Sus scrofa: one gene and its partners. The protein of the gene in region 3 binds, or shares a complex with, the protein of the main gene of each other region. Links are inferred from orthologs where the notes say so. Each region holds a gene or a part of one and is shown on either strand. Other genes may lie near its edges. The genes, in order: WASF2, ABI1, NCKAP1 and CYFIP2.

Evidence for each region.
Region 1: NCKAP1 (region 3) and WASF2 share a complex: the UniProt entries of both Homo sapiens proteins name them as parts of the WAVE2 complex. The link is inferred for Sus scrofa from reciprocal best matches to the Homo sapiens genes NCKAP1 and WASF2.
Region 2: NCKAP1 (region 3) and ABI1 share a complex: the UniProt entries of both Homo sapiens proteins name them as parts of the WAVE2 complex. The link is inferred for Sus scrofa from reciprocal best matches to the Homo sapiens genes NCKAP1 and ABI1.
Region 4: NCKAP1 (region 3) and CYFIP2 share a complex: the UniProt entries of both Homo sapiens proteins name them as parts of the WAVE1 complex. The link is inferred for Sus scrofa from reciprocal best matches to the Homo sapiens genes NCKAP1 and CYFIP2.

What each region holds. Positions count from the first base shown.
Region 1 is NC_010448.4:84,627,047-84,631,757, forward strand, and holds part of WASF2 (wiskott-Aldrich syndrome protein family member 2), read right to left. Parts: intron 4,360-4,711; coding exon 4,229-4,359; intron 2,138-4,228; coding exon 1,982-2,137; intron 223-1,981; coding exon 1-222. UniProt on the Homo sapiens protein: Downstream effector molecule involved in the transmission of signals from tyrosine kinase receptors and small GTPases to the actin cytoskeleton. Promotes formation of actin filaments. Part of the WAVE complex that regulates lamellipodia formation.
Region 2 is NC_010452.4:48,937,460-48,942,710, reverse strand, and holds the start of ABI1 (abl interactor 1), read right to left. Parts: upstream 3,256-5,251; 5' UTR 3,103-3,255; coding exon 2,986-3,102; intron 1-2,985. UniProt on the Homo sapiens protein: May act in negative regulation of cell growth and transformation by interacting with nonreceptor tyrosine kinases ABL1 and/or ABL2. May play a role in regulation of EGF-induced Erk pathway activation. Involved in cytoskeletal reorganization and EGFR signaling.
Region 3 is NC_010457.5:88,454,542-88,459,252, forward strand, and holds part of NCKAP1 (nck-associated protein 1), read right to left. Parts: intron 2,776-4,711; coding exon 2,656-2,775; intron 2,019-2,655; coding exon 1,879-2,018; intron 1,028-1,878; coding exon 896-1,027; intron 1-895. UniProt on the Homo sapiens protein: Part of the WAVE complex that regulates lamellipodia formation. The WAVE complex regulates actin filament reorganization via its interaction with the Arp2/3 complex. Actin remodeling activity is regulated by RAC1.
Region 4 is NC_010458.4:65,998,348-66,003,708, forward strand, and holds the start of CYFIP2 (cytoplasmic FMR1-interacting protein 2), read right to left. Parts: upstream 3,230-5,361; 5' UTR 3,091-3,229; exon of another isoform or gene 2,676-3,090; intron 1-2,675. UniProt on the Homo sapiens protein: Involved in T-cell adhesion and p53/TP53-dependent induction of apoptosis. Does not bind RNA. As component of the WAVE1 complex, required for BDNF-NTRK2 endocytic trafficking and signaling from early endosomes.

The DNA of each region.
Region 1 (4,711 bases), on a different chromosome or scaffold from region 3:
GGTGGTGGGGTCCCTGAAGACCCAAATCCTCCAGGTGGTGGTGGGGGTGGAGTGCTCATCATCGGAGGTGGAGGCGGAGGGGCAGGTGGTGGAGCAAAGCCGGGTTTGGGGCCTGGCGGAGAGCCCAGAGGAGGAGCTGGTGGTGGATGGCTTGGGCTGACCACACTGGATCTTTTGGGTCCAGCCAGGCCAGACCCTCTTTGGTTACTGTCTGCTGGGTAGCTAGAAGGACAAAGAAAAAAGACCCACCATCACTCTCAGGATGCAAACATCCACCTCTAGCCAGGCTTATCCATAAGCCTAGGTTCATTTTGGTTGATGTCATTTCATTTTGGCTCCAACAGAAAGAAAATCCTGGGAATGGTGAGAACAGACTAACAATGAAATGATCAGCCTTGTAAGATAATGAGCTTCCCATCAGCAGAGGAGTAAAACAAATTGAGAAAAACTACCTAAAAGAAGTGGACTTAGGATTCCTCCAACGGGTAAGGGCTGGCCAAGATCATCTCTCAGGTCCCCCTCAAACCTTTCAGCTCTCCGAGGGAAGGCACCCTCTTGAACCCCCCTCTAAAAGGAAGGGTCAGTTCAATCCTGGAACCGGGATCAAGAAGGCATGCAAGAACGAACTGGAATAAAAATTCAACCACCACCACCCACCAGGCTCTGTTCCACAGGCTATTAACATGCACCAGATCTTGTGAGGGCAGGAAATCCAAGCCAAGCTGACCAGACCTGAGCAGGGTACAGATTTAGGTGAATGCACCTTCAGTGCGCATGTGGAAAAACTTGAGAGAAAACGAGGGCCCGAGGGTCAGCGGAGACGGGAAATGAACGTGCCGCCAGACCTGACCCAGGTTGAAAGAGGATTAAGGTGCAGACTCCTGGGTTAGACTGTGGCTGCATGGTTTCAGGCCATGTGTGGGCTGAAGGGCTCCTTTTTTCCAGCTTTGTATCTGCCCTGCACTAATAGCTACTCCTTAGAAAAGCATCCATCTTGGAATTTTCCACAGACCTTCGAGCTTTAGCTGCTGAATCCAACAGGGCAACCAGCAAGAAGTGATTGGGGAGGCAGAAGGAGATTTGGGATTAGTGGTTTCAAGAGCCAAGAATGGGGCGGGGGGTGACAACACTGCTTTAGGGCTCCATCTGAGGGAACTTCAAAATATTCAATCTCTGATTAAACCCTGTCCAAGGAGAAAAGCATACCTTACAAAGCTCTCATGTGTCAGGCATCAGGATGAACAGTGATTATGAGGAAACACAGAAATCTGAACACTCCTCAGATTCCTTCCCTTTTCAGCCACTACCTGCTCACTCTTCCTCTATTCACCTCTGCCAGGGACACTGACATATATCAAAATGGTCAGATTCTAAGTTTCATCTCCTTTCCTTTGACATTCTTTCTGGAGATTCTATCCAACAGTGAAATGAACTAGAGGCAAGAGGAAAAAAAGGTGACTATCCGCTAGGTTCCTAGACAACTGGGCAAGGTGTCTGTTCCATAGCATATGCCCCCTTTCTTCCCTGTTTAATATTATGTGGACAGCAACAGAGGAGACCACTTTATTTCATGCCGAGTCAATGCTAAGTTAAAAAACAAGAGTTAAGTTGGTGACTTCTTTCTGTTCAGGAATACCTAGTAGTTAAGATCAAAGATTCTGGAGTTAGACTGACCTGTTTTCTAATCATGACTGCCTCTTACCAGCTGTGTGATCTCAGGTAAGTTCACTGACCTCTCTGTGCTTCACTCTTCACTCATCTGTAAAATGGGTACTTACCTCAAGAGGATTCTTGTGAAGATTAAGTAACATACACAGTGTTTGGCATAATGCCTGGTACCTCACAAACACTTAATAAATATTAATTATTTCTACTATCTAGACAGACTGGCCTGAAGTCATTCTGGCCTGGATTTAGAATTCTTCCTTTGTTCGTTGGTATTTAACCACCCAGAGTAGATGGAAGAGGTACCACCATTTACCTGAATTCTGCTGGTGGGGGAGGCAAGCTGTCCTCAGAGAAGGAAGGAGAAGGTGGAGAAGTAGAGTCTGACTGTGGTGGTGGTGGGTAGCTGCTTGCATCCACATTCTCAACAGAGCCAACGCTGCCGTTCTGATACACCAAGGTGGGTGGATACCTGACAAGGAACACAATGCCAGAACTGTCATTTAAAGTCTGAGTGGTACTCTTGTTTTCTTAAAAGACCCCACAAGAATGCATGTGATATACAAGCTATTAGGGAGAAATAAAATTAGTATATTTCCCATAGAGTTTCCGTTGCACTGACTATTTTAGGCCTAAATATTCTATTACTAAATATCTCCCAGATATTTCTGCTGGATTGTCTGTGGAAATGGGACTCAACTCAGATTATCAAAACCATGCTGTTCCTTTCCCAGTGTTGGCCTTGTCAAACAGCAGTTCCTTTAAATTCACTTCCAAATGTTAGGGGAAGCCCAGAACCCAAATCCCAGTTTGTCTTGTGGCAAAGGGCAAAGCCAAGTCCCAAGGCTACTGAGCTGCAAACACATGACTGGCACACAGACTGGTTTTGAGGTCGGCAAGCCTCTGGAGTGCTCAAAGGCCAAGAGGGCATCTGATTGCAAAGCCAAGCTGAGGACAAATACAAGTTGTCATGTGGTAGTCAGATGTGGTCTCTGCTAGGTCTCTCATTTAACAAAATGAGCTGTGGATTAAAGTGGGGTGCTAGGGCTTGCCTCATGAAAACCTGTCCCCCAGAGCACTGGGCCTTGGGTAAATCTGCGCTGAGTGAACAGCAACAAACTTCCAAACAAGCACGAATACACCAAGAAGCAGCTAGCACCTCCTGCTTCTTCCCACCATTGTTGGGTTCTACGGAACTTATCTAAAGCAGATCACAGGGAGAACAGATTTGGAGGGAGCTAACAGAATCGAATGATGCTCTGATGTGGAAAATCCCCAAGGACTTGGCACATCTCTTTATAGGTTCACCAACAAGGATGTCCATGTGGACCAGCTGTGCAGCCTGCCCAAACCTCTTGGACAACAGTAAAATGGGAGGCAAAGTGTTCATTTTCACCACTCCAATTACACAGAGACAGACAGACAGACAGACAAGTTTGCTCGGCATCCTGGACATGCACGCTTCTGGCCTTAGAGAACCTTCTTATGACAAGGGCCTGTCTGAACAGGATGGGGCCACAGAACAAAATGGCCCCTTTTTATTGGGAGGTGAAGCTAATGGAGGTACCCTCGGGGCTGATCCCCCTGTAGAAAGAAAGGTTCACTTTTCCTCTCACCATCTTCATCACTCTTTAAAACAAATCTCTTAATCCAGGAAGAACAAGTGTCAGAAGTGTCAAGATTTCTGAAAGTCAAGATTTTCATGGTAGAGTTATTCCTAAAAGCAAGGACAACTCCACTCTTTCCTTTTATCGTCCCTAGACACCCGGCATGGGCTGGCATGGTTCTCTGACAGCCAGGATGCAAGGTATTTAGGGGAAAAACCAGCGCGACATTCATGCCAAGCAGTCGTGGTGACTTGGCTTTGAATGTCACACAGGTCAGACACCAGGATAAGAATCAAACCAAGCTTTCAAACCATTTTTTTTTTTTTTTCCTTTTAAACCTCTAGTGTGATTTGGAATTGGGAAACGGGGTCAGACTGACATCTACTATTTCTCCACAGAGATATACAGCCTCAATGCTAGCCGTGCGACTGTTCCCACACTGCCTCTGAGGTCGGCTTCAGCCCCTTGGCCAGCCTCTCTCCCAAGACTGACAAAGGCTGACTGAGAAGTGGCTTTGGCGATGTGCACAAATTCTCTGCCTGGCCCTCCCCACACCAGTGAAATGCCCAGCTCTTAGCCATGACCTTCAAATCAACACTCTGGAGGCAAAGGCCTTCCAAGACCACTTTTCTTCCCTTTCTAGTCTTTCCTTTGAGGCCCTCAGACATAGCCATGTCTGGAAGAGCAAGGGCACTAAAAGCCATGGGCATTCTTTTTCCAGGCCATTCTGGTCATCTCATTTAAACTGCTTGAGTCTCTTGATTTTTTTTTTTTAGCAAATTTTAATCACCAGACAGAGGCACTTTAAAGTAGCTGATTAACAGTGGTATTGATTTAAGCCACAGAGCCAGACTTAAGGGTGTATGAAAGGTGTCACACATAAGCTGTCAGACGGCTGCCCTCGGGTACCCAGCCCCTTCCAAGAATGCTACCAAGAGAACAAAAGCATCACCTACCCAGACGGCCCCAGCTTTTCTTTGGATTCCACAAATTCTTGACCCATCTTCATTTTCTCCCACTCTTCCTTACGTGTCTTGATTTTACGTGGGTTTACATTCCCTCGATTTGGATTATCTTTCTTTTCTTTCTATAATGAAAAGAAACAGAAAAGCCTTAATAAAACACTTCCCAAAGTTATTCAGTAAAATTCCATCACTTTCACGGATATACACCCATGCATATGCTGTCTATGCCTAGAGAGCATACGGTAACTACAGAATTCATAGAACTGCTGGGTTTAGAGTGACCTAGAGGTCATCTAATCCAAACCACCTCCTGGGATCAAACACAGTTCCTCAATCCCACACTCAAACATTTCTAGCAATGAAACCCCATTACCTCTTTGGGTAACTCATTCATGGTTTTGAGCAGCTCTAATTGTTAGGAAGTTAGTAAACTGTTATTTGCTATGCCACAAAGGTCAGTCAAGAGAGAAGAGA
Region 2 (5,251 bases), on a different chromosome or scaffold from region 3:
CTCCATGTACCACAGGAGCAGCCCAAGAAAAGGCAAAAAGACAAAAAAAAAAAAAAAAACCCTTTTTAAGACAGTGGGCTCTCTTGAGAAGTTCTGCTATTAATACAATTTAATAATTAAAGTCAACAGGTCCAAAAGAGCTAATAAAGTGCTCAAGGACTAAACTGTACTACAGCCAAAAGAACCTTCCAGCTAAATACCATACCTGACTGAACTGTACTTCAAAACTACAGGAAAATAACAAAATGAAAAGTGATTTTATCTCAGGATAAAAACCACGCTGGCAAAAACTTAACTTGGGGTGTAAAAAAATTCTCAAAACACAAGTGACCATATACTCTTCCCAAGAGAAGGTATGTTTACACAGGGTGTTGGCTATTACCCTGTCACAGAAGGGATACAGAGAGATCTCAAAAGACATGTAAATGGATATTTCTAGTATTATGAGTTTCCTCTTAACAGTAGCGTAGCACATCATAAAGCCAGCTACCAACACATCAACTCTCACAAAGTCCTCATTACCTTCTGAGCCTGTCTGAGCCTCTTGGGAAGGCAACTGGTAGCCAGCTTCAAGCAACCCAAAGTTAGCTTTGGGAGTTCTCTTGTGCTGCAGTGGGTTAAGGATCCAGCCTTATCACTGCAGCAGTTTGGGTCACTGATGTGGCTAGGGTTTGATCCCTGGCGGGGCAACTACTACATATCAAAGGAGTGGAGGTGGGGGGAAGCAAAAAAAAAAAAAAAAAAGCAGCAGCAGCCTCTAACATCAACATTGCTGTGTGTGAACTTCATCTCTTCCCACCCCCACAGCTTACATGGGACTATCTCACTAGCATCAAGTTTAGGACCACCAAAAAGAAACTGGGGGCCACTTACAGTGGATTTTGGCACCATGGTACTAATATGCTTTAAAGACTATGAGAAATAACATGATTTATTTAACTAGGGATATAATGAAGTTTAAAAGTACTTCAAAGTTACATGATGGTAGCAAGAGGGAAAAAAAGGGGTGGGGGTACCTCTAGCACACAACTACCTGAAAAAGAAATACTCAACAGACAGGTTAAAACACGTTTGCATTTGCCAACACATAGCAGTTACCACACCATGTATTTGTCAGATTTCCCAACATGCAAAACAAAAAGAAACCATCCCTTAATGAAGTACCTATCTGCTGATTTCTACAAAGAAATGACTTTCCCTTAATGGAGGCAATTTAACTTCCTGTGCTTTCTCTCTGACTTTCAAAATCTTTAAAACCTTCAGCAAACTGAGAATCACCTCAATTTTAGGGCTTTTCACAATGAAACTTGTATATTTTTGGTATCAATCAACTACAAAATAACTTTTCTGTTTGAAAAGTATATCCACATTTCTAGTAGATTTTAGAATTTTTTTTAAAAGCAGTTTGCAAAAACAGCGAAAACAGTAGATGTAGCAGGCATTCAACAAGTTTATCAGTGGAATTCCTAAAGTAAAATCTTGAAAAAATTTATGAGATAAATTCCTTGTAGTGCTACTGAAGATACAGTGTTACTAATATGGAAATTGAAAAATATTCAAAATATTCTGAAAACAGTATCTCCTTCTAAAAATAAAAAGGAAAGCATTTGCCAACACAGAAACCATTGGTTCTTAAAAATGACAATCACATGGGATGCATTTCTATAAATACCTTAGTTCGGAATTACAGTAACTCTAACCTTTCAAAACACGTTTTGGTCATGCCTTACCACTAACAAGCGAATTTTTGGTGCCATTATCCTGATTAAAAAGGACTCTGCTACTTTTACTTGCTTCTATTGAAAAATGTTAGTTTACCGCAATTAAAGATCTACAAAGCAAACCACCACAACATAATTCACTTTCAATCATTAAAATAAAAGCAAACAAGCAACCACCTATCATAGATAAAGGTCCAAGAATTTTCGAAAACATTCAACAATAACGTATTTGTCGTTATGGTTCTAAGACTAAATGTTCAGTAATCTACTGAGATTCATTCTACACAAGTACTTAGGATGGAAAGAGAGAAACCTCAGGAAAAAAAACAGCAACCGGCGATTACACCATTCTATTTTAAGTTACTTAGGAAGCTAGCAGTTCAAGAACTTTTGAGGAAGAGAGAGTATTTAAGCCATTTTTCCAAGTAGTTAAGAATAATTTGTTTCAAGCTAACGATCGCCCTAACAATCTCTAGAATATATTACGGTGGGGCGGAAGTGAAAATGATGAGAGGGAAAAAAACCCGACTTGAAAATGGACAGGCAGGCAGATTTACAAACCTTCAATTAAAGGAATTTGGAGATTAACTTCTACTCCCTCCCTCGCTCCCCACTCGCTTCCTCCTCTCCTCGGGGAGGTCTCTGTGATGTGACTCACGACCAATTTTTTAAAAAATAAATAAATAAAAGACACACCCTCTGGGCTAAACTGACATAATCGCCCCCACCCCACCCTCCCCCGACACACACACCCCGCTTTTCCTCTCTCTCCTGCCGCTCCGCCCCGCGCCTCGTCCCGGCCCTTTGCTCTCCCCTTGCTCGACCGGTCCGAGACCCCTGGGCCGGCAGAGAGGCGGCAGGGCTCTAGGGGGACTCCGGGGCGAAAGCCCGGCGGGTGGAGGGCTGCCGGGGGGAAGCGCGACTCCGGGGGCTGAGCCCGCGGGGAGGCGGGCGGCAGGGGGGCGCCGGGCTGCGACGGCCGCGAGCTCCGGGCTCCCTCGCCCATTTTCTCTCTCCGCTTCTATGGGTTTCAACCACCACAGCCACTTCCTGTATCGCAGCCCGACTCCCCAAACCCGGCCACTTGCTGTCGCCCCGGCTGAGGCTGGGGTTGAGGTTGGCGCTGGGGTTGGGGTTGGGGTTGGGGCTGCCGCTAAGGTTAGGGCAATTCCCCACCCCTCCCAGTGGGCTGGTCACCCAGGCGGCCGCCGGCGGGTCCTTGGCCCGGCCGGCCAGCGCCCGCCCGCGCGACCGCGCTCCTCACCTGTATGTAGTTGTTTTCACAGTAGTCCGCCACCCGGGTCAGGTTCTGGTAACTCTCTATCAGCGCCCTCTTGCCAGACGGGATCTCCTCCTCTAGTAACATCTGCAGCTCTGCCATTTTCCACCCCTCTGCATCGCTTCCTCTCGCGTTAAAGAGACAGAGGCAGCAAGGTCTGCGGAGACGCCGAGCACCTCACAGCCCGGATACAAACCGCCTGCCCGCCCTCCCGCCTGGTATTGTGGGACGGAACCTCCTCCTCTTCCTCCTCACTCTCTCCACCCGCCTCCACCCACTTCACGCAGCCGCCTCAACCTCTTTTCTCGCGAGCCTTCCTGTCTTTCCCGCCCCCTTCCCGCAACCATGGAAATTTTTTCCTTTGGCATGGCCTTCTGGGAATTGTAGTCTCTTGCAGACGTGGCTGCCCATCAGAAGCGCATGCGTTCAGGGAGCCTCCGAAAAAGAACGAGGAGGAGCATATTTAAAGAACTTGGAATGAGGGTGGTGGTTTAAGTTTCTAGTCTCTTGACGGGTCCGGCAGATGGCGCCGCAGAGTGATACTAGAGAATAAAACCCGGTCCCCGAGAAAGCTGTAATACTTGGTAGAACTTAACTAGGAAATGCCTGTGAATCAGAGATATCAATCTGATAAGGTTTAAAAAGGACTGGAATAAGGATATTCCAGATCTTTACTTCCTCTGTCTTTTTAGAGATAACTCCACTCAGGCTTTATTTTCTAAACTTCTGCCGCCCTCAGTTTACTTAAAATTTAACTTGCCCTTGTTATTGCCAGCTCTACACCAAGCAATGGACTGGGGGTGCAAGTTGAGTAAAGGATACTCGCTCAGTGGGTTAAGGATCTGGCATTGCAGTAAGCTGTGGTGTAGGCCCGAGGCAATAGCACTGATTTGACCCCTAGGCTGGGAACTTCCATATGCCACAGGTGCAGCCCTAAAAAGACCAAAAAATATATATATATATATATTAATATTGAGATTTCCCATTGTGCCTAGCAGATTAAAACCTGAAATAATGTCTGTGAGGATGAGGATTTTATCCCTGGCCTTGCTCAGTGGGTTAAGGATCTGGCATTGTTGCAAATTGCAGCATAGGTCACAAATGCAATTCATATCTGGTGTTGTTGTGTCAGTGGCATAGGCCAGCAGCTGCAGCTTCAATTCAACCCCTAGCCCAGGAACTTCCATATGCTGAGAGTGTGGCCCTAAAAAGAAAAGAAGAAATAAAAAGAAAGCCATGACACATACTTATGACAGAGGACCTGTATCTGGAATATATTAAAAAAAAAAAAAAAAAACTCCTCCAAGTCAATAAAAAAAAGACAGACAGGAGTCCCTGCTGTGATGTGGTGGAAACAAGTCTGACTAGTATCCATGAGGATTCAAGTTTGATCTCTGGCCTTGCTCAGTGGGTCAGGGATCTGGTGTTGCCTTGAGCTGTGGTGTAGGTTGAAAGAGGGACTCAGATCCTAGGTTGCTGTGGCTGTTGCATAGGCCAGCTGCTGCACCTCTGACTTGACCCTTAGCTTAGGAACTTCCATATGCCTCAGGTGAGGCCCTAAAAAGAAAAAAAAAAAAAAAGACAGACAATTCAATTAGAAAATGGACAAGAGGGAGTTCCCGTTGTTGATGCAGTGGAAAAGAATACGACTAGGAATCATGAGGTTGCAGGTTCGATCCCTGGCCTAGCTCAGTAGGTTAAGAATCTAGTGTTGCTGTGAGCTGTGGTGTAGGTCACAGACACGGCTTGGATCTGGCATTGCTGTGGCTGTGGTGTAGGACAGTGAAAACAGTTCTGATTCGACCCCTAGCCTGGGAAGTTCCATGTGCCTTGGGTGCAGCCCTAAAAAAACCAAAGACCAAAAAAAAAAAAAAGAAAGTGGACAAAAGAGGAGTTTCCACTGTGGTGCAGAGGGTTAAGAATCCGACTGCATTGGCTCGGTTTGTTACCAAAGGCACAGGCTTAATTCCTGGCCCAGCACACTAGGTTAAAGGATCCAGGGTAGCTGCAGCTGTGACCTACACCACAGCTGCTGCTTGGATTCAATCCCAGGAAACTTTCAAATGCCACAGATGCAGCCATTAAAAAAAAAAAAAAAAAAAAGAACAAAAAAGGGAGTTTCCTTGTGGCTCAGCAGGTAAAGGATTGGCATTGTCGATCCAGCTTCCACATGCTGCAGATATAGTGAGAAAAAAAATTAAAATGGACAAAGGAAGACAACTCACTCCAAAAAATGCCCACCATGAAAATG
Region 3 (4,711 bases):
ATTCACACCATTTCACTATTACTCATAGTACTTAACACAATGTTTTGCATATGGTACAAACATTACTTTCAGTGACTACACTCTTTTGCCAAAGTTTTTGAAAAATCTCTGGCAAAATTTTGTTTTATAAATTCCCTTAAGGCCTTCAAAAAAAAAAAAAAAAAAACCTTGTCAAATCAATCAATATTTTCTTTAATAAATAATTTCATAAAAAGGTTGAATTAATATTTACAAAATTAAGATTTCTGACTCGATAGGTAAAATATCATTTCAAGAAGCATATATATTAGAATTGAGTGCCTCAAGAGTCTAATTCTGCTGCCCTAACAGCATACATTTGAAATCAGAAGACTAAGCGTTATTTAGTCTTAAGGTTTTCAAACATTTGACTGTGTCCCACTACAAAATATGTATTTAGTATCACAATTCAGATTACACATACATATACACAAAGTTTCATGAAGCAATATTTCTATTTACTACATGTAATGCACTTTTTTCCCTACTTCTTCTTTCCTTTCCTCTCTTTTCTATCTTTCTTTAGATGTTGACTGCAACATTCTAAACTGATTTGATAAGCCTAATGGGTTGTCACCTGCCAACTGAAGAATACCGATTTGCTTCATCTTCTCATTTTGCTTGAAAGGAAGACTCACAAAGATTAACTGGCTTGTCCAGTATTATAACCAGTTAATAAGTATAGGATAAGAATCTCTGTAATTTAAGTAATTCCCAGTTCACTATTCTTTATACACCCCAGTTTATTATTCTTTATACTATACTGCTTCTACTAGTGCTTTCTCTCACAAAAGGAGACACTGCATAGATAAGAAGAATAAAATAACAAACTCATTAATTGAACCAACAAACAAAAATAATTTATATTCTTTCTTACTTAGTAAAGCGGATTTCCAGATGAGAAGTCAAATATTCTCGTGGGGTAAATGTATGTTCCCAAACCACCATGTTTGGTACATAATTTATAGAGAAACACAACTCAGAAAGTGCAGTGTGCAATTTATCAAGGCTGAAAAATATTAACAAGCATAAAATAAAAACTTTAACATTTCATCATAGCAATAAAAAATTAATTTTATAAACATATTGGACCTTATTTGGGGATAACTATAGAATTCAGTTTTTTCTCTCTCTTAAACTGACAAGTTCAAAATCTTTAAGGGTATCACTAAGCATGGAGAACAATTTTCTAAAGATGGCATCATTTGTTTCTTCATTCAGATGAATGACTTAATATATATGAATGAGTTTTTTCTGCACTCATAAAGATAATCATTTCCAATTCCTGTCGTACTTTCTGCTGTGGAGGAAGAAAGCTGTCTACAAAATGGCAAGAAGCTTGCTCAACACAGGAAGCAAAGAAGTAGGAAATTTACTCTCAACAAAAAACATTCACCCATTATTGCTCATCTCCTCTATAAACAAACAAATCACTGAACACTATCTAGTATAATATACCTATTTTAAAGTAATGATATCGGGTATTTTCTAATACATGACAAGATGCCAAAATAGTCTCAAACACCTGATATTAAATAAGCTGAAAATTATAGATTGCTTATAGGATATCCCTGCTCCCAAATTTTTTGAGATTCTTGGCCTTTAATATTTAGCATATAAAGACAAATGACATTTATTACATGAAAAATTCAAAAATCTATATTTTGGGATGAAGTAATAAGCACTAACTGGCTAAGCAAGTTCACAAAGGCAAAAAAAAAAAAAAAAAAAAAAAAAAAACCAAAAACCCTGATTGGGAAATTAAGAATCTACAATTACAAGAATTTCCTCAGTACTAATATCATACCAAAAAACCACTCTTCTACCTATAACAAAAAGATACAATAGTGGATGGCTTACTTTGTCACTACCAGCCTGTTTTTCCTCATGCTCTCAACTCCTGGCTTTTCTCTTTCAGGTTCCCCTTTCTTACCAGTCTGCTTTTTTGACTTCTTATTCACTGCTTGACTGATGGTTTTGGCACAATGCTTGGGCAGTAACTAAATTTAAAAAGAAATAAAACCTTAGACTGATTACTTTAAAACATTAACTACTGAAATAAACCTTATCTAAATCCAGGCTATGTGGCAAATATGTTAGCACTAAGAGTAGAGGTATTAAGTGGGAGGTAGAGTTTACCTAGCTAGCTTGGAGAGCCCACTCAGCTTGATGGAAAACAGAAACAAGTAAATCTTGTGTGAAGAAACACTTCATAGAGCTACAGCTAAAAGAAAAGTTAAAAAATACCAGGCAAGTCAGGAGTAAAAATGAACACTTTACTGAAAGGAAAATGGCCTAAGAAGACCAAAACTATAGGCCACAATGTGTTGAGAATCCAGTGAGAATGACTAGGTAATGGAATGCAAAGTGCAGGGTAGAGGGGCTTTAGCTACCAGAAAGGGACTTGAATATCAAGCTAGAGGCTGGATTTTACACCATAAGTAATCCTAAGGACAGTGGCAATTTTTAAAAAACCTAATAATGGAACTTCACAGTAAGAGGTAATGAGATTTACTAAGAGTTTGAGAATTTTAAAAATGAAAATACTAAAAAAAAAAAAACAACTAGCTAAGAGATCATTTTCTTGCCTTCATACACAGTTTTCCTACCTGTAAGGAAACATTTAACATTTATTACCTGGTCACTAAGAGTACACTGTTCAGTACAAATATCAGTGATGAGATTTCGAGCTTGTTTAGCCATTTCATCAAGGAACATATTACATAAGGAAAGACTTCGATCTCCAATATGATGTCGCTGTTAAAGCAAGAGAGTAACAATAACAATAATAAAAATTATAAGAAAGTAGTTTGAATTAAGACACCTTTTAAATAAACATCAAAAAGAAGGCTCAAGTCTATTCTACGATAAGGAGTGAGGGTGGAAAATGTTATAGATTTCTTTTATCTCTTATAACAACTAACCTATCATACTGTACTTGCACATAATTGACATAAAATAAGTACTTGGTGATTATACAAGTAAAATATGGTTGAAAGGAATCTGAAAGAACCAGTATTTTCTTTAACAAGAAAAACTATTATTTTCAAATTCCAGTCTCATATCCAATTCTTAAATACTAAAACACCGAATATACAAATGTGAAAGAACAGATTTAGAGTAATATTTTCTGACCTCACCTGATTATATTATATATATATACACACACACACACAGTATAAAACAGAAAAAAAGGTCATATATTTAAATAAAATCAGCAGCAATCAAGTCAACAAAACTTCACAAGGCATTCAACTAACTCCCCAAAATCAAATTCCCCATCCTGGAAGAGAAAAAAAAAGCTGACCATGCATGTATTTTTCTGAACATAATAAGAGGAAAAAAGAAAATTATATCTAACTTTGGAGAGATTACATATACACATGTAGCTGCATACACTCACTCAAATCCATCTATCTCTAGCTACAGAATTCTAGTTTTGGTGGGTATTTAATAGGTTTAAAAAGTTTTCCTTGTCAACAGTAACTGAAATGTTAAGTATATAATGCTGGACAATTCTACACTATACATTTTTAATACTTTACAAAGAAATAGATTTTTACAGGTTTTCCTTCGCTGATCATCCATAATTATATAACAAACATGTAGACAACACAAATTCTATGCTAAATAAATGTAAAATAATATAAAAGAATATAAAAATATTTAAACATGTAAAATAACTGTTCCTCAATCTACCATAATACCTTATAATGTATTTTATTTAAAATGTCTTATACGAGTTCCCATAGTGGCTCATTGGGTTAAGAACCCGACAAGTATCCATGAGGATGCGGGTTCAATCCTGGCCTCGCTCTAGGGGTTAAGGATCAGGCATTGCTGCAAGCTGCAGCATAGGTTGCAAATCTGGTTCAGATCTGGTATTGCTGTGGCTGTACTATAGGCCAGAAGCTACAGCTCCCACTCAGCCCCTTGCCTGGGAAGGAACCGCTGCCGCATGTGTGGCCCTAAAAAGAAAAAAAAAAAAAAAAAAATGCCTTTTAAAACTACAGTTAGAAGCCAGACTAAAAAGGATCTACAGGCCAGATCAATTAAATAATCATTCACTTAACTTAAGGAAAGATTTCAAATGATAAACATTTGGGTTTTGTTTAACCAAATTCTGACTCCTTAAAGGTAAAACATATCCCTTGCTATCACTTCTCCCTGAAAAAAATATGGAACCAGCACTGCCTCAAACTTACTGGACTAACTTATTAAAATACAGATTTCACTACTATCCAATGGCTCAAAAATACTAAGACTGGAAAGCAAAACTAAGGTTTCTTAACTTTGGTTGTATTGCTAGGTACCGAAGATAATGGCAGAAACAGACCACTTAGGAGGCAGTAACAATCATCAGACAAAAGATGACATGGCTTGTACAAAGGTAAGAAGAGGTATAAGTTTGAACATATGAGAAGGTAGAGCCAAAAACAGAAAAGGCCCCAAGTTGGGGTGGATGTGGAAAATCAGTATTTCTATTCTGCACATATTAAACGTCAGATGGCTAAAAAAAAATCTAAGTTACAGCAGGATATAGAGAAAATCTAAACTGAAGGGAAAAGTCTGGGCTACAGATACAGATTTAGAAGACATTAGCATAGGGAAGATTTTTAAACAATGAGACTGGAAAGACTGAGTGAACCACTATACTGGATGGTACAGTTATAGCAACACAATAATTTCTTGT
Region 4 (5,361 bases), on a different chromosome or scaffold from region 3:
TGGACACAGACACCAGCAATGAGGCATCTGCTGGGCGACCAGGGTGGAACCTTCACTGTGGGAGGCCCTCTAAGGCCATGAAATCCTTTAGCAGAGTCAACAACACACACACACACACACAAAGAATCTGTCTTCTTAAATTGACACACAATATACAAGGTGACATGAGCCACATTCTTCATGATTATGTAATTAATGCATTATAACAATAAACACATAAATATAATAGTACACACTATGTGCTAGGCACTTTGCGGCATCCCTTATTTAATAAGAGCATCCTTCCCCACCACTGATGGCACAGGTGTCTCTGCTCAAGGTAACTGCATGCTCCGCCCCCCCTTGCCCCATCTCCACGACTAATGCAGGATCCATCCTCTGGACCCTAGACTTGGCTTTGCTCCTCAGGACAATAAGACCCGAGGCCTTTTACAAAGGCTCCAGTGAGGGGACTGCTGTCTGGTTTCGTCAACTACAAGTGAATAATTAATACATGCCAGTAAAGAAATAGACTCATTGTTATGGTGGCCACATGGAGGCTATAAAAGGCCATTTTGCGCAGCTCTGGGCGGAACCCTGGGACCAACAGTGGCCAAGAGAAACCTCTTTGAGAGTATAGGCTGATCCTCAAATGTGGGGACTGGAGCTCTCGGCACTATTTTCCAGGAGTGCTGTTCCCAATGCTAATTAGCTGTTGCCTATTCATCACCTAATTCGCCTTGCCACTCAGTGACAGCAGCAGAGGCCCACTGCATGCCCGAGAGGGCACAATATTTCAGATAGGACATGTACTATTCCCCCAAGATCCTTTTCCAGTCTTTAAATTCTTGTCTACTTTCTTCTCTGCGCCAGACTCTGATTGGCTTTGAGTAAAACTCTCCTATCCTGGTGGACTTCATATCCCACTCTCGGTCTAATGCCTACAAGTTTTTCCTTTTCCATTTCCAGCAGGTACTGAACAAGGCAGGCCTGGGTGCCTACAGAACCAGTCAGAACTGGCCAGGAAATATAATAAAGAAGCTTAGTGAACAGCACGCTAATGCCCCCAGCCAGAGGCTCAGCCTGCAGAACTAGCCAGGGGAACTGGCTTTGAGAGCAACAACACACTCTTCTTGTGGCCTAGTAGCTGCTCTGGCAGATGGCAGCCAGTGTCAACAAGTAACTCTCTATAGGTTTCACCTCTTCCAAATAGACACTGAGTGCTCAACAATGCCTTCTAGTGACAGTAACCCCTGACCAGTTACACACACACACACAGACACACACACTACTCCTATGGTATTTCTGCCCTTAAGGCCAAAGCTGCCCTTGCAGCAAGCAAACAGCACTGACAGCTGCTAAAAGCTGTCATTTCAGTGAGCTGTTCCCCAAAATTGCGACCCAGTTCCCCACTCCCACTTCCAGCCCACTGCCTGAAATTCCACCGTTAGAGATATGAAATATTATTTACTAAAAGCTTTGTTTCCCATTAAAATGCCTCTAAGCCTCTGTTTCCTTTCTGGTCAAATGACTTCTAAAGCACCTGCTCTGCGTCTAATGGGAAATTTGTTTGTATTTGGCTCTTTGAGGATAAATGCCTTCACTGGCTCCTTTCTTGAAAACAATTTCTGGCACAGGAGAATAGGGTGGGGGTGGGGGTGGGGGTGGAGCACAGGGCACTGTGTGGAAGCAGAGGTGAGCGGTCTCAGGAGGGATCGCAGAGAAGCTCTGATGGAGAAAACAACTTTCAAGGCCTTCACCACCCTGTCCAGGGATATGGACCTAGATTTTTGCCCTCCAGCAGCTATAATCTTCACAGCTGCCAGCATGGCTTGCAACAGCGCCTGTGCCCAAGAGTAAGGTAAGATCGACGGCCTCCCCACACCCCTCCTTTTCCCCCCTACCCACCCCCGTGCGCAAAAGTGACAGAGTCAGGAGGTGGGAAGGGAGAGGTGGGAACCAGCACTCTCCTGATTGCCCCTCATGCCTGCAGGGCTACCCCAGCCTTTCTGACCATGCCTCGAAGGCACAAGTGCCCAGAAGCCCACAGGAAAATAACCTTGTCCCTTTCTGGGCCCCGCTGTAAGGGGAGCTGAAGGCCCATCCATCAGTCCTTGGTGAGTCGCACTGCTATGGTGGGGAAACTAGACAGGCAGAGGTCAAAGTCAGATTCCCTGGGCTGAGCAGGGTACCTGGGCAGTCTCGGTGTCCTTCTCTGTCAGGTTTTCCAGACAGAACCTACTCCAGACCATGCTTCCCGCCCCCACCCCCACTGCCACACGGAGAACTGCCCTTGTATACCTTTTCAGATGATGCATACCCCTGGAGGGAGGCGGCTGTCCTGCAACGCAGAAGCCACTACAGAGCTAAATAAAACCCAACCTTTCCCCCAGGAATCAGACCACTCTTTCCCTTCCCCCCACCTCCTCCCCGCCCCCAGCCAGCCAGAGGGAGAGGATGCTAGGCCAGAAGGCTTCAAAGCGGGTCAGGCCTGCCTCCTCGCTCATTAAAGCCCCCCACCCCGAAACAACGCTGCGGAGACCCCTGCTCCACCCATCTCACGTTCACTACAGGGCGCGCTGCGTCCAAGGCGGCTGCCAGGCGGGCCCAGGCGGCTCTAGCTGGCCCTGGGGGAGGTGATGGTAGCTACAGCGGCAGAGGCGGCAGCAGAGGCGGTGGCCGGCGCTCTGCGGTACCTGGGCGCCGGGAGGTCGCCACCGCCGGCCTCGCGGCCGCTGCAGGTGCTTCAGATGCTCGACAGGAGCGCCGCTTCCTCCCAGGCGGGTGGCTTCGGCCCAGGCCGCGCACCTGCTGCTGCTGCCACCGCCACCGCGCCTCAGCTTCTCCATGCGTCGGTGCCTCCCCGAAGGCGGTCCGCGCCTCAGGCACTAGGGTGGGCCAAAGGGGGCAGCGGGCTGTGCTGGGCCCGAGGCCCGGCCTCTGGGAGCTTCTTGGGGCCCCCAGGCCGGGCTAGCCCGGCCGCCGCGCCGAGCACCCCCACGGCGCTGGGAGAAGGGGTGCGAGCCCCTCGCGCATCTCTACGGCTGCGTCGACATCCCCAGCAGCATCCCGGTCTCCACGCCGGCCCCGAGGCCTGCGAGCGCCGCTTACCTGGGTCTGCAGCAGGTCTAGGGGAGCTGCCCGAGGATACGGCGGGGGCCCCGCGCCGGGGCGCAGGATGCTCTGCCTGGCCCGGCTCGGCGGCCGCCGCGCTTGGGCCCGCCCTCGGCCCCGCCCCTCCATCCGCTGCGGCTCCTCCTCCGTTCCCCGCACCCCGCCCCTTCGCCGCCGCGCCTGTCACACAAAGAGCAGGAAATGGCTGCGGCCAGGGGCTCTGGGTGCGTCCCTCAGCGCGGCTGGCGCATCCCAGACCTGCACCCGGACCTCTCGCCCCAGGAGAGCCAGCTACATCGCTTAGGGAGGATTTTCCCGGGCCCCTCAGACCCAGGAACCACACCTGCAGCTTGTGGGAGGACTGATCCTTTGGGCTCCATTAGGATCTCATTGATCTCACATGATTTCCAAATGCATATTTTTCGAGCACTTCTTTCGTTCCAAGCACCGTGCCAGGAGCTGAGTATGCACTGGGGTATGCAAAAGACAGAGTCTCTGCCCTTCTGGAGCTTATCATCTATCAGGAGATACATGGCATAAATTAACTTGGCAAATGTCCAGTTTCAGCTAAAAGACCGTTTTGTGGAAAAAAAAAAAAAAAGAAAAAAAGAAACAGGGTGAAATGGTAGAAAATAAACCTGAGAGTTGGGGAGAGGGCTTCTGCCAATGGAGTCTGATCCCAAATGCTGCTCCTCTGTTCAAGAATACCTACTGGTTCTCTCTTTCACTTCCTTGGTGTGGAATCCCTGAAGCTGCCATCTCTTAAGCAGAGGCCTGCCTCAACTTCATTCAGGAAGAATTAATTGCCTAATGGACAAAAAGGCAAATCCATGATGACGGAAATTAGAGAAGGAATTGAGAGGACAGGCACTTTTCTCTTCAAGACTTATTTGCCATTTAGGGCCCTCCAAAGAAATGGTTCACATTGAAATGCATCCTGGCGGGGCCTCAAACCAGGTGGAAGTCAGACAACACCTAATTCCAACCTTGGGACCCCTGAGCAAGTCACTTCACCACTCTGTTCCTGAGATGCCACCACATCTAAAATGTGGGGAATAATCGTTGCCTTTCCTACTTCACAAGGTAAATGATTTGAAATCATTTGAGATGTTTTAAAGTTAGGGGGTAAAGTCTTGCTACAAGGGAACTTTCCTGAAATATATCTGAGGGGCTTGCAAATGTAAAGTTCATCACTCAGCTCTTCCTATCAAGGGTTATTTATAGAGGAGCCACATTACTCAACACTCAGCAAAGGACTTGTATAAGTCTTTGTCCTCGCTGATCTCACATCCTTTCCCGAGTGCTCAGGATTCATGATCCTTTGTGGTTTGATGTTACATCACTCATTCTAATTTAAATCTCTATTTCAGAAAGGATGACTTATGTATACATATACATTTCTGTCCCTGATGCCATGTGAGAAAGCTGTGGGGGTGTTTGTGGAGGATGGCTTTAAAAAGAGAACTGAGGTTTCCTTTTTTGTGTGTGTCTTTTTAGGGCCCCACCCATGACATGTGAAAGTTCCCAAGCTAGGGGTCAAATCAGAGATGTAGCTGCAGGTCTATGCTACAGCCACAGCAACTCCATATCCAAGCTGCATCTGCAACCTACACCACAGCTCATGGCAATGCTGGATCCTTAACACACTGAGTAAGGCCAGGGATCAAACCCACATGCTCATGGATACTAGTTGGGTTTGTTACTGCTGAACCGCAGCAAGATCCTCCCCCCCCCTTTTTTTTTTTTTTAATTTTTCAACTGTGATCCTTGGGATTTGGGGTGTCAGTGATTACAAGTATTTAACAATGAGAGATTGGATTTTCATTCTAAATGGCATATTATTTCAGATGTTGTAGATTTATGGAAGATGTATTTCTCCCTGTGGCTCCTTCCTTGTCTTTTCACTTTGCAGGAATGTGTTGCTTAAAAAGAACAACAACAGGGAGTTCCTGTTGTGGCTCAATGGTTAACAAATCGGACTAGGAACCATGAGGTTGCGGGTTTGATCCCCGGCCTCGCTCAGCGGGTTAAGGATCCGGTTTTTCCATAAGCTGTGGTGTAGGTCGCAGATGCGGCTCAGATCCTGCGTTGCTGTGCCTGTGGCATAGGCTGGCAGCTTCAGCTCCAATTAGACCCCTAGCCTGGAAACCTCCATATGCCGCAGGATCGGCCCTAGAAAAGGCAAAAAGACAAACAACAACAAAAAGAGACAGTTATGTATATACTGGGTTAGATCTTAGGCAAAAATAATTCACTGCCCCCTTGAAT